3 linked regions of the Macaca mulatta genome follow. The protein of the gene in region 2 purifies or fractionates together with the protein of the main gene of each other region. This does not show direct contact. Links are inferred from orthologs where the notes say so. Each region holds a gene or a part of one and is shown on either strand. Other genes may lie near its edges. The genes, in order: AP1S2, AP1M1 and ATG9A.

Region 1 (3,746 bases), on a different chromosome or scaffold from region 2:
AAATGCCCCCAAAACTACTGTCTTAGTTTCATAGATACTAAAATGCACACAAAAAGAATATAATTCCTAATAAAGGATTCCTTTACATTGATTACATTTAGCTTCGTGAAAAAATTAGCATTTCTTTTACTTTAGGCCATTAAAAAAATTCTGGCGACTACACCTAGGAACCTTTGCAAAAGGGACATGGCCCAACAAAAGCAATTTTCTCGCTTCCTTTGTAGGAACCTAGGTGACTCGGATAATGAATAGCATGCGATATGGGAAACCCGTGGCTCTTCAAGGAAGGTCACCTAATCCCGTGGGACTCCCCTTTCCTTATCTGTAAATGACTAGATGATTCATCCATTCTATCATTCAGAAAATTACGAACATCCATTATGCCCCGGCATTACGCTCAGCATTACAGCTCTTAACAAATTTATCATTTTATGGTCTTTATCAGTCAACTCACATTTATTGTGTTATACACCAGGCAGTGAACTAGACTGGGATGCAAAATGAATACAACTTAAGGTGTGCTAAATAAAGGCTAACGGGCATGTGGGTGAAAGAGGGAATCGCTCTTACAGGGTTTTAGGGTGAGGCTTCATAGGAGATGTGACATTTGAGAGCAAGGACATGCCAGGCACAGCAAGTCGTCGGCAGTGCTAAACTGGAACCCAGGCGGCTGGTGGGGCGACCCAGTGTGAAGGAAGCGGGATCTCGAAGGTGAGGTGCTGTCCGGGCTTTTCAGCCGAACGGATGGTAACTCCGCAGCACCGAAGATGGGCGAGGCGAGCCCAGGGAACAGACTCCCGCGAAGCTTAGGGCGAAAGGTGTCTGGGCTAGGGCTGGAGCAGTGCAATGGGAAGGAGAGGCCGGATTCCGGACAATTTTGAGGCAGAATGATAGCAAAATGCCCGTGAATGGGTGACGAGCTCCACAGAAGAGCTGACTTGTTTTTCCAGAGTTGCAGCACTCCCTCGTCTCCTCCCACCCTTGTCGTCAGCCGTCACACCTCCCCGACCCACCCTCTGGGGACACAGAGAATCATTAGAGCTCAAACGAGGCTCTTCGCTGTCTGGAACTTCCCGGCCCCGCACCTCCGGCTAGGCTGAGGACGCTGCAGAATCCCGTCCTCCTATCATTAAACAGGCAGCATACCCGCCCGCGCGCGTCCCGGAGGCACCAGCAGGAGTGCGCGGGCGCGCGGGCCCGGCAGACGCCGCTTCCGGGTCACGTGGCCCGGCTTCCGGTTCGCACCACCCCCTCAGCAAAGAAGCCTCCAATCGGCTTCCTTGGATTCAGCGGTTACCTGCGCTGCCTCCGGTGCCGCTGGCAACTGCTGAGCCGCTTCCCGCGCGTCGCCTAGCCCGCCCCTCAGCTCGCCGCAGCCCCGGCTCCTCCCTCGTCCGGCCCCCGGGGCGGGGTCTGTCAGCTCGCCCTCCCCTCTCCGCCTAAGCCTGCCCTCCGCCAGCCGGGTCCCCTCCCCACAGCACCACGGCTTCTCTTCCTCAGCACGGCGACAGGGGCTTCCCCTTAGCCGCCGCCGCCGCCGCCGCCGCCGCCGGCCGAGCTCCGCCGCGCCCGCGGCCCGCGGCCGCCGTAAGTCCCCGGGGACGAAAGGGGGCGCCGGGGATGGAGAGGGGGAGGGAGGGCTGGGCGCGCCCCCCGCCACCCCGAGCGCGCCCCGCGACCCCACCCCGAGCCTGCCCGGCCCGCCACTGGGTCGCCGCGCCTGCAACTCACTTCTCTCAGGGTCCGCGTCCTCCGCACCACTCCGCGCCGCGCCCGGGGATGTGGGGGCCAGTCCCGGGCTCCGCGACAGCCCCGCGGCACCTGTGGTTCGGGAATCGCCTCAAGTTTTGCGGGGCGTTTTCGGGAGGGGCCGGGGGCGGTGGCGGCCGAGGACTCTTGGCGCCCCCTGCGCGGCGGCGGATGCCATTGTCTGCTCCGCTCCTTGCCTGTCACCTCGCCCGGGCTTGGTCAGTGATGGAGTGTGGCCACGGGAGTGGGGGGGAGGCACCGGCGACGGCCGGACCCGAGGAACGCTGGCCCCGAGCCCGCGCCGCGGCTGAGCCCATTGTTTTTAATGCCAATCTCGAGGAATTTTGGTGCCCTGTGATTTGCGGCAAAATCAAAGCGCTGGTTTTTAACACGAGGGAAGGAATACTCGTGCCTTGCAACCGGGTTTCGTCCCATGTTAGGACATAATTTATTTTAAGGAGAATACATTGTTTTTTCGTCCTGCAAAGTGGTAGGGCGGGTACAGGACCCTGCTCCAGACAGCCTTGAGCCCATACTCTTTGCAAGCAAACCCTCACCCTTTCTGGTCACCAAGATCTAGGAATACGAGATCCATTCTTTTCCAAGTTCTGGTAACGGGTTTGCAGTAAATGTCCAGTTGATGCTTCACTTGCTGCTCCCTTCGAATGCCGCTATCTTCAGGACTTGCACGGGAGGCACTTTGGTATCATCTAATAATGTCCTTATATTTTGTTCCCCTGACGCATTTTAAGTGAGGTAATAAGACCATTTTAACTTTACTAAAGTTGAATTGCCACGTCATAAATTTCTAGATATCTTGTTGATACCTTTTTGGGTGGTTATAAAAAACGACGATAATTTCTTACCGAAATTTAGGGCCCATTTTTATTCTACATTGGTTCTGTAAATTTCCCCTCCCCGTCTTCAAATTCAAGATGGTGTGGTGAATCTTGAGAATCATGCTTGAATCTTACTTGCAGTAACGCTGTTAAAGGAACTTACAGTGGTTAAAAGAAAAAAGGATACCTATGTGAATTCTGGCTTTAAATTACCTTTGTAGAAACAATACTTCTGTTTGCAGTTGAGATGACCAATTGAATTACAAAAAGCTTGGGTTAAAAATGAAACATGCAGACTAATCAACACATTTGCGATCACAAATAAATACATACAAATTAGTTTAAGTAATAAAACACACTAGAATTCAGCATCCACTCTATCTGTAGATACTATTTTTTTTGAAGTATTTCATGTAATGTTTCAATACTAAATCTTATTTAACAAGTGTAAATCTTATTGTGGCCTTTTAAATGTTTGTTTTCTTTTTCATAATACTACATTAACTCAGTTCTAGATTTTGTACATATTTAAGTTGGAATGTTTTAAAAGTAAGATGAAAACATACTTTTTTATTAAGGAAAATTTGTAGTTATGAGATTTTTCGGTTAATATTTTGGATCATTCTGTTTTGCTTGAAATATGCCATCATAAACCGACGAGAGCATTCTAAGATATAAGCTACTGTCTACAAGTAGTTCACCCTGGAACTAGAACGGCCTCAGGGTGAAAAATAGCAGGTCTTCCGTTTCTTTCAAAAATACCCAAATCAATTGATGTCTACCATTTTCTTTTGATACATATAGAGAGTGTGCAATGTATAGCACAGGTAGAAAATAGTTTCTTAAATTGAAAGAGTGGTCTTTATTTTTCTTCAAAAATTTCGCTTCAGCTTATTACAAATTTTTCTTTTTTCTCTTGCACACTCCCCTCCAAACTTAACGTGGAACAGGGTGGGATTGGAAGGTTTGCATCTAGAGAAGATCTGTCCAAAAGAATTTCTTGCTATTTTAATTGGCATAGAAATATTGATGGCTAGTAATCATTTGTCATTTAAATGCCCCATCCCCCAAAGCTTCTCTGTGAAACACATAATCTTAACTTTATTGATTCAAAGTATTACATGTAATCTTGATTTTATTTATCTTAACAGATGCAGT
Region 2 (3,729 bases):
GGAAGCGGAAGGGAGCGCTGAAGAGGAGGTGGTTAGTGGTGGTTAGTGGTGTAAGAAGCCAGCTAGATAAAGCGGAGAAGCTTCCTACTAGGAGAGCTTCCTTCCAGCCCAGTGTGGCCACGCCAGTGTCCTCGGTGACCAGACACGTGGCCACGAATTTCTCAGTGTGCTTTATTTTTGATGAAATGCAGTCGGCTCACGAGGCCGACTTTGGAAACAGGAGGTCCGTGGATTGTGGAATAAGAAAGGGCATCATGGTTGCAGAGGGAGGGAGGGAAGCCCATGGCTGCCTTGGGGAGCTTTCTGAAAGGCAGGTCTGATCATGCCTCTCTGGGCTATGGTCTCCTCACGGTGGCTCCTTGTTGGAAATGAAGTGGTCCCCTTGGTCCCTCTCTCCCATCTCAGCATTAGCCAGGACTTCTGGCTCAGCGGCCCCAGCAGGCTGCCCCTTGCAATACCTCTTTTCCACCAGATCGTGCCTGATCACCTTCCAAACCCACTTCCGGCGTTGCCCTCTTCCAGGGAGCCTTTCATAACCACCTCCACCTTCCACTGGCTAAAGACGAGGTTGAGCAACTGCAGGACTTGGGACCTTGTTCCTGCCCCTGTGGCTGCCTGGATCCAACTGTGTGGTAATGTCTCTGCTTCTAGAGGACTCCCCTGCTAGACCGAGAGGCCTGGGAAAGCTAACATGGACCATGGGTGGTGCTGAGCCTGTCTCACACATCTGCTCGGCAAATCTGCACAATAACTCCATGAAAGCCTCTTTTGACCAGTGAGGAAAGCGAGGCTCAGAGAGAAGGTGCCTGTCCCAGGTCACACAGCTGAGCAGCAGAGATGGGTTTTGAGCTCAGCCCTAACACCACAGCCACGGTGCCAATGGACACCCTATGCCTGGCACAGGACAGGGTGCATCCTAGGTGCTCATGAAATGTTTGCTGAAGGAATAAGCCAGCCAAGACAGGCAGCCCGCTGGCACCTCTGGGGAGGCAGTGGCCAGGGCGGAAGCAAGACTCATGCCACCAGGACTCAGGGTACACTGCACACACCCAGCCCCTGGCGTGATCTAAGACGGGTGTCTTCCCTGCTTCCAAGAAGGTGGGGGAAGGAAACCCAGCACTGGATCTCATCAGTTATTGGCTTTGGTTGGCTTCCAGGGCAGGCACCCACTCAAGGGACTTCAGGAAAGTGTGGGGGTGGGGTGGGACAGGAAGGGGCAGCCACTTCACCTCTTCACTCTCAGCTGCTTTAGGGCTCACCCCTGCCCGCCTCACCTAGGACCTGACACCCACGTTTGTTTCTCTCACTGACCAATGTTGGGTTTAACATTGTTGGACCGGTGCTTGTTGCTTCCACATGCAACAGGCCAGGCAGCCACTTGCCTTGTACCTGGGATGGACTTGGGAGAAGGCAGAGGACCATTTCTAAAAGGCGGGGACAATCCCTTCTTTCAGTTTTCTCAGATCCTCTGGGGAAGATGCCCGGGTTCTAGTCTATGTCCAGCTCCCTGGTATCTCAGGTCCATTTGTCACCCCTCCTTAGGAAAACCCTCTCTCATCCTCCGGCTGAGGCTGACCATCTGTATAACACATCCGCCCCACCCCCCCACTGCAACTGACATTTATTTGTGTTTTTGGAGATCGGTATCCATCTCCCCAATCAGCCTGTGAACGTCATAAGAACACAGATTGTTGAGCCCTGGCACAGTGACTCACGCCTGTAATCCTAGCACTTTGGGAGGCTGAGACAGCTGGATCACTTGAGGTCAAGAGTTTGAGACCAGCCTGGTCAACATGGTGAAACCCTGTCTCTACTAAAAATACAAAATTTAGCTGGGCGTGGTGGCAGGTGCCTGTAATGCCAGCTACTTGGGAGGCTGAGGCAGGAGAATTGCTTGAACCCAGGAGGCAGAGGTTGCAGTGAGTGGAGATCGCACCACTGCACTCCAGACTGGACGACTGAGCATGACACTATCTCAAAAAGAAAAAAAAAAAAGCAGGATTGTTTTTTGCTAAACACAAATCGACCCCAGGCTTACTATCCTGCCTGGCATTAGTAGGTGCTCCCCAGATATCAGCTAAATAAACAAATGCTTCTGGATCGGACTCCTAGACTTCCTACTTCTCTGTGACCATTGTGACCTTGGTCAGGTTACTTCACCTCTCCGTGCCTCAGTTTCTCCCTCTATAAAACGGTACTCGTGATCACCATCCACTCACCTAACCCTTGTAACTCACTATCGCAATGAACATGGAGAAATTCCTCCTGAGAGAAAGTGCACGATAAACAGAAGCTGCAACGCCCTGAGAGGGCGGGACTGGCTGGAGAGCACCCAGTCCCCGCCACGCCTCGCCACCCCCGGCCAAGGGTCGCGCAGCCCCTGGACACCCTGCCTGGCTCCAAGGCCGGCTGCGGCCCCGCTTCTGGGTCCTCCACCGAGCCCAGAGCCTCTGGCCCGGGTGCCTGGGAGCAGAGGGCGGTGCAGTCGGTTACCTGGCAACGCGGTGGCTGCAGCCCACCGCGTTACCTAGCAACAGGGCGTGGATTACCCACTTACGACCCCCGCCCGGTTACCCAGAAATAGGGTGGGGCTCTCAGGTGAGGTCTACCGGCCTCTTTGCCTCACACCAGGGTGGGGCTCATAAGCCGGTTACCTAGCAACAGGGTGGGTCCCCGCGGGCGGAGGCCCCCGCCGGTTGCCTGGCAACAGGGAGGGTGGGGAGCCTTCATTACCTTGCCCTTCAGGTCCAGCACGTAGACGGCGCTAGCGGACATGGTGGCTGCAGGAGGCCTCGGCAGCGGCAGCGACGGTGGGGACTGCCAGGCGTTGAGCAAGGCCGGGCGCCGCCCGCGACAGCTCACCTCCACTTCCGGTTCGGGGAGCCGCGCGGGGACCGTTATGTCCGGTCCGGGAGGAGCTGCCAGGAATGCGCAGGCGCAGGACGGACTCTGCGCAGGCGCATTACGTTGTATGTGACCATGTTTCTTGCTCCCGCCTGAAGCCTCCCGGAAGTAAGGCCCTGGGAGGCGGGGCCGACCAAATCAGGGCACCCACTGGCCGCTGCCAGGCTGAGCTATGGAGCCAGAGCAGCTGAAAACCGCCTCCCGTCGGCCGAGTTAGGCGAGAGAGCCTGGTGGTGAAACCGACCTGGGACCCAGCCCTATGGAGCTCACAGTCTAGTGGGGAAGTCTATGAAACAAGTGTACAGTCACCAATTGTGATAAGCTCAAAAGGGAGAGGTAAGGCCGTGGTTACTTGGAAAGAGGTCAAACTTTCTGAATGGCAATCAGACCTTATCAACAGTCACCACCTGTCATTGTCAACTTATCAGTGAATGAGCATGCCTGTTTATTGCCTGGAATGTTAAGAAAACCAGTCTCACTGAACCTTGACCCAGCATACCGTGTTTCATTTCTGCAAAGTTAGTAGTCGGTAATGCAACTGGTGGCCCTTGATTAATCCATTGAATCATATCTAATTTGCTTTTATGAAATCTTGGGCTTTGGAGAAATACCTGCATTCTGTTCCAGTTAGCCATCACAGTACCCTGGGGATCCCAACCCTGCAATATCAGAGTGGTTTACCCAGGATGCCTGCCTCTCACATCTTTTATTTTCCCTCCTATCTCCGTTTTGGCGTTTGGAAAGATGATTTTTGCAACTCGGTAATTATATAGTCTTAGGATAGAAATGTGACCGAACCTCTAGAAAAGCAAACTAGAATGTTTG
Region 3 (3,746 bases), on a different chromosome or scaffold from region 2:
CACGCAGCTGACCAGGAAGGTAGTGAAGGCAACCACAAAGAGGAACTGCCTGGAGAGTTGGAAAGAAGGAGTGCAGTCTGAGAGCCAGAGAGGACCCAGTGAAACCCAGTGGAAAGAGAAGAGTATGGAGGTAGCAGAACAAGACTGGGAACTGGAAGGGCCTGGAGAACTCCCAGTGGGCCCTCTCTGCTCCTCAGCCCCACAGAACTGTCTCAGGCCCACTCTTTGCTCTTAGCCTCAGCTGCCACAGCTGCAGCCTGCTTTCCTCACCTCATGGTAACCTCAGCCACCACTTCTGGACTCTTGAAGGTTTCATCCTGTGGGTCTCTGATCTCCAGTCCCTGATTGCCTTTTGAGGTTGTAGTTAAAAGCCCTTGGGGGAGTTTTCTGATTGAAGGAGGGCTTCTTAGCCCCTTCCCCTTTGGCAATGCTATATGGCTTCTCTCTCCCAGGAGGCTCTCTGCCTAGAAGCAGGCCATGGTACAGCCAAGGCAGAACAGAGGCTTTTCTCTGTGGCTGGCATCTCTGAGACCTCCTGACTGAACAATGTAATTTCCACTGGAGCGTTGAGATGATCAAGGTCAAGACCTGAGTTCTTTTTTCTTTTCCTTTTTTTTTTTTTTTTTTTTTGAGAGAGAATCTCACTCCGTCACCTGGGCTGGAGTGCAGTGGCACAATCTCAGCTCACCGCAACCTCCACCTCCCAGGTTCAAGTGATTCTTGTGCCTCAGCCTCCCAAGTAGCTGGGACTACAGGCGTGCGCTACCACACGCCTGGCTAATTTTTGTATTTTTAGGGCCTCCCAAAGTGCTGGGATTATAGGTGTGAGCTGCCGCGCCCAACCAAGGCCTGGGTTCTCTTCATGGAAGAGATAAGCCTTGGAAAGCTTTTCTTGTGAGAAAGCTTGGCCGGGCATGGTGGCTCATGCCTGTAATCCCTGCACTTTGGGAGGCCGAGGTAGGTGAATAACCTAACCTGAGGTCAGGAGTTCGAGACCAGCCTGGCCAACTTGGTGAACTCCCATCTCTACTAAAAATACAAAAACAATTAGCCAGGCATGGTGGCACATACCTGTTGTCCCAGCTACTAAGGAGGCTGAGGCAGGAGAATCACTTGAACCTGGGAGGCAGAGACTGCACCGAGCCAAGATCGCACCACTGCACTCCTGCCTGGGCGACAGAGTGAGACTCACTCCATCTCAAAAAAAAAGAAAGGTGAAGCTGTAAGTTTTGGTGCCACACCCAGTCCCTGAACTACAGAGGTTTACAAAGTTTTAGCCTAGGACTGAGTTGTACTGGCAGGTTGGGCCAGGTGTGAGTGCAAGGAGAGGAAAGACTAAGACGTATTCTTTCACCACATCATCTGTCCCTTCTTATACTTACATGAGCTCAAAGATCTCCCCGATGAGCATACATGTGAAGCCATTCTTCTGGTGCAGATTATAAACGTATAATTGTTAAGAAAAAGTGGTCAGAAAAGATAGCAGGTAAGAGCACAGACTTTGGTATCAACACACTCAAGCTTAAGTCCTGGCTCTGTGACTTTCTAGCTGTGTGACTTTACCAAGTTACTTAACCTCTCAACTTTTGTCTGTCCACAGTGGCACATTAGGAATGAATAACACTTATCTCATAGGAGTATTAGGTCTGAGATAATGCATGTAAAGTATTTAACACAGAGCTGACACAGAATGAGTCAAAAGATGTTACTTTTTACGATTATTAACATCCCATCAAAAATGAGGCTCGGCTGGGTGTGGTGGCTCACGCCTGTAATCCTAACACTTTGGGAGGCCGAGGGGAGTGGATCACTTGAGGTCAGGAGGTTCAAGACCAGCCTTGCCAACAATGGTGAAACCCTGTCTCTATGAAAAATACAAAAAATAGCCAGGCATCGTGGTAGGTGCCTGTAATCCCAGCTACGTGGGAGAGTGAGTGATGCAGGAGAATCGCTTGAACCCGGCAGGTGGAGGTTGCAGTGACCTGAGATTGCCCCTGGACTCTAGCAGCAACAGAGACTCCATCTCAAGAAAAAAAAAAAAAATGGAGGCTTACCCTTAGAAAGGCTCCACAAATTAACACCACAAAGTAGACACGGGCACACGGATCTTGGTAAATGTGGGCTATCATTACTTAACGATGATTTCACCAGCCTCTTTCAGCCTCAGGATAAGCTCCATTCCCCATTCCAGGTATTAGAGTCAAACCTACCCCCACCTTCCACCAGAGACCCAGCTTAGAGAGACACTAACGGTCCCAGAGCTCCAACTCAGAAACACAAAGGATATTCGAGAGAAGAAGAGGTCAAGGTTTTCAATATGGTGCCACGGTGCTGTGGGATAGGAACAGAGATGTCAGAGCTCTGGGAGAACACATGCCCCTTGCTCCCTCCATGGTCTTCCATCAGCTCTCCCTATGGCTGTCATGTCCAAGAACTCACACTTGCTCCCCTCAGCGACGTGCACCAACAGGTCCTCCTCCCCTGGGGGTGAATCACTGTAGGAGGCCTCTAGGCGCTGGTATTCAGTGTCAAACTGCGCCATCACCACCACCCCCTGTCCACCTTGACCACCTGCCAATGAGGAAGAAGAGACCCTGATTCAGTTCTAGCTGCTGCCCACGAGCTGCCCTGCCTAGTGCAAAAAGGAGTAAGAAAGTACCCTTGGGCTTTGTCTCCACTACCAGCCTGCTTGGCTCAGAGGCAGAGAAGTAGTAACACAAGGAAGGCAGTAAGCTCAGGGCTGGGGGGGCCTTAACTGGCCAGTCTGGGCGTCTACTGCTACCTTCCTGGCCCAAAGCCAGAATCTGCCCCTTTGTTGGGGGCTGTTTCATCTTCTATTTAATGGACAGAAAAGTCCCTCCCCCACCCATCCTGGAAACCCTGGTCTCCCAAGAGACTAGCAGGTTGGAAGCACTTTGCAAACAAATGTTTGAGAAAAGCACATGGCCCTACCAGCTCCATGGACAGTATGTGCTCCACTCCAGCCCTCGATGCTCTGCAGCTGCTGGAGGAGAAGATGTCAGGCCCCAGAGAGTGGGGAGTGGGGATATAAAGGAACCCAACCCTCCCACCCATCCACACCCCATGAAGAGGAGGCCAAGCATGGGGCAGGAAGGCTGCAGTGAGGAAGAAGCACCCTTCCAGCCCAGGACTACGAGCACTTCCTCTGGCTGCGCTAAACAGGGCCACTCTTCCAACTCCAGAGTCTCAAGAAATAACTTAGGGACCCCATGGAGAATGAATGGGTACAGACCTGAGGCCAGGGGCCCCTCTGGACTATTTCTTCATTGCCCCACCTTAGCCTCAGAAATGACATACTTCTCAAGGTCCACAAAACCCCAAGAGAGTCTTTCCTGAAGAGGACCTTTCTGGTCACCCTTTTCTTACTTCCCTAGCACCAAAGATCCAGCCGGTGAGCAAACCTGCTGGATGGGAAACCTTGACTGGGTCAGTGTAGACCCCAGATCCTAGGTGAATTTGTGGGTTCCCTAGGTCCTGGGAGCCAGGCATGGTCGTGGTACTCACCTGTCCGTGCAGCCCCTGGGGGCCGTGGATCTTGGCCCAGCCTGGCCCCGGTGGGATTCCCTGGGCTAGTGAGAGTCCTGGCCCTCAGGGAAGTCACCACTCACAGGGTCCGTGTGGACCAGGGCCCGTGGAGCCCCGGCCGGCTGGGCCTGGGCTCAGGGGTTCCTGCGGATGTTGCAGGGATCGAGTCAGCCCTACAGCTGATAGCCCGGGTGGGCTGG

What was found.
Region 1: the proteins of AP1M1 (region 2) and AP1S2 fractionate together in Homo sapiens (co-fractionation; 6 studies listed by BioGRID and IntAct, counting the BioPlex papers as one, with this or other methods). This does not show direct contact. The link is inferred for Macaca mulatta from reciprocal best matches to the Homo sapiens genes AP1M1 and AP1S2.
Region 3: the proteins of AP1M1 (region 2) and ATG9A purify together in Homo sapiens (affinity purification with western blotting, with the first as the bait; 3 studies listed by BioGRID). This does not show direct contact. The link is inferred for Macaca mulatta from reciprocal best matches to the Homo sapiens genes AP1M1 and ATG9A.

Annotation. Positions count from the first base shown.
Region 1 is NC_133426.1:15,532,194-15,535,939, reverse strand, and holds the start of AP1S2 (AP-1 complex subunit sigma-2), read left to right. Parts: upstream 1-1,254; 5' UTR 1,255-1,587; intron 1,588-1,731; exon of another isoform or gene 1,732-1,978; intron 1,979-3,739; coding exon 3,740-3,746. UniProt on the Homo sapiens protein: Subunit of clathrin-associated adaptor protein complex 1 that plays a role in protein sorting in the late-Golgi/trans-Golgi network (TGN) and/or endosomes.
Region 2 is NC_133424.1:16,678,550-16,682,278, reverse strand, and holds the start of AP1M1 (AP-1 complex subunit mu-1), read right to left. Parts: upstream 2,889-3,729; 5' UTR 2,776-2,888; coding exon 2,734-2,775; coding exon of another isoform or gene 2,663-2,733; intron 1-2,662. UniProt on the Homo sapiens protein: Subunit of clathrin-associated adaptor protein complex 1 that plays a role in protein sorting in the trans-Golgi network (TGN) and endosomes.
Region 3 is NC_133417.1:124,472,500-124,476,245, forward strand, and holds the start of ATG9A (autophagy-related protein 9A), read right to left. Parts: upstream 2,572-3,746; 5' UTR 2,543-2,571; coding exon 2,440-2,542; intron 2,332-2,439; coding exon 2,288-2,331; intron 1,448-2,287; coding exon 1,383-1,447; intron 1,198-1,382; exon of another isoform or gene 1,072-1,197; intron 50-1,071; coding exon 1-49. UniProt on the Homo sapiens protein: Phospholipid scramblase involved in autophagy by mediating autophagosomal membrane expansion. Cycles between the preautophagosomal structure/phagophore assembly site (PAS) and the cytoplasmic vesicle pool and supplies membrane for the growing autophagosome.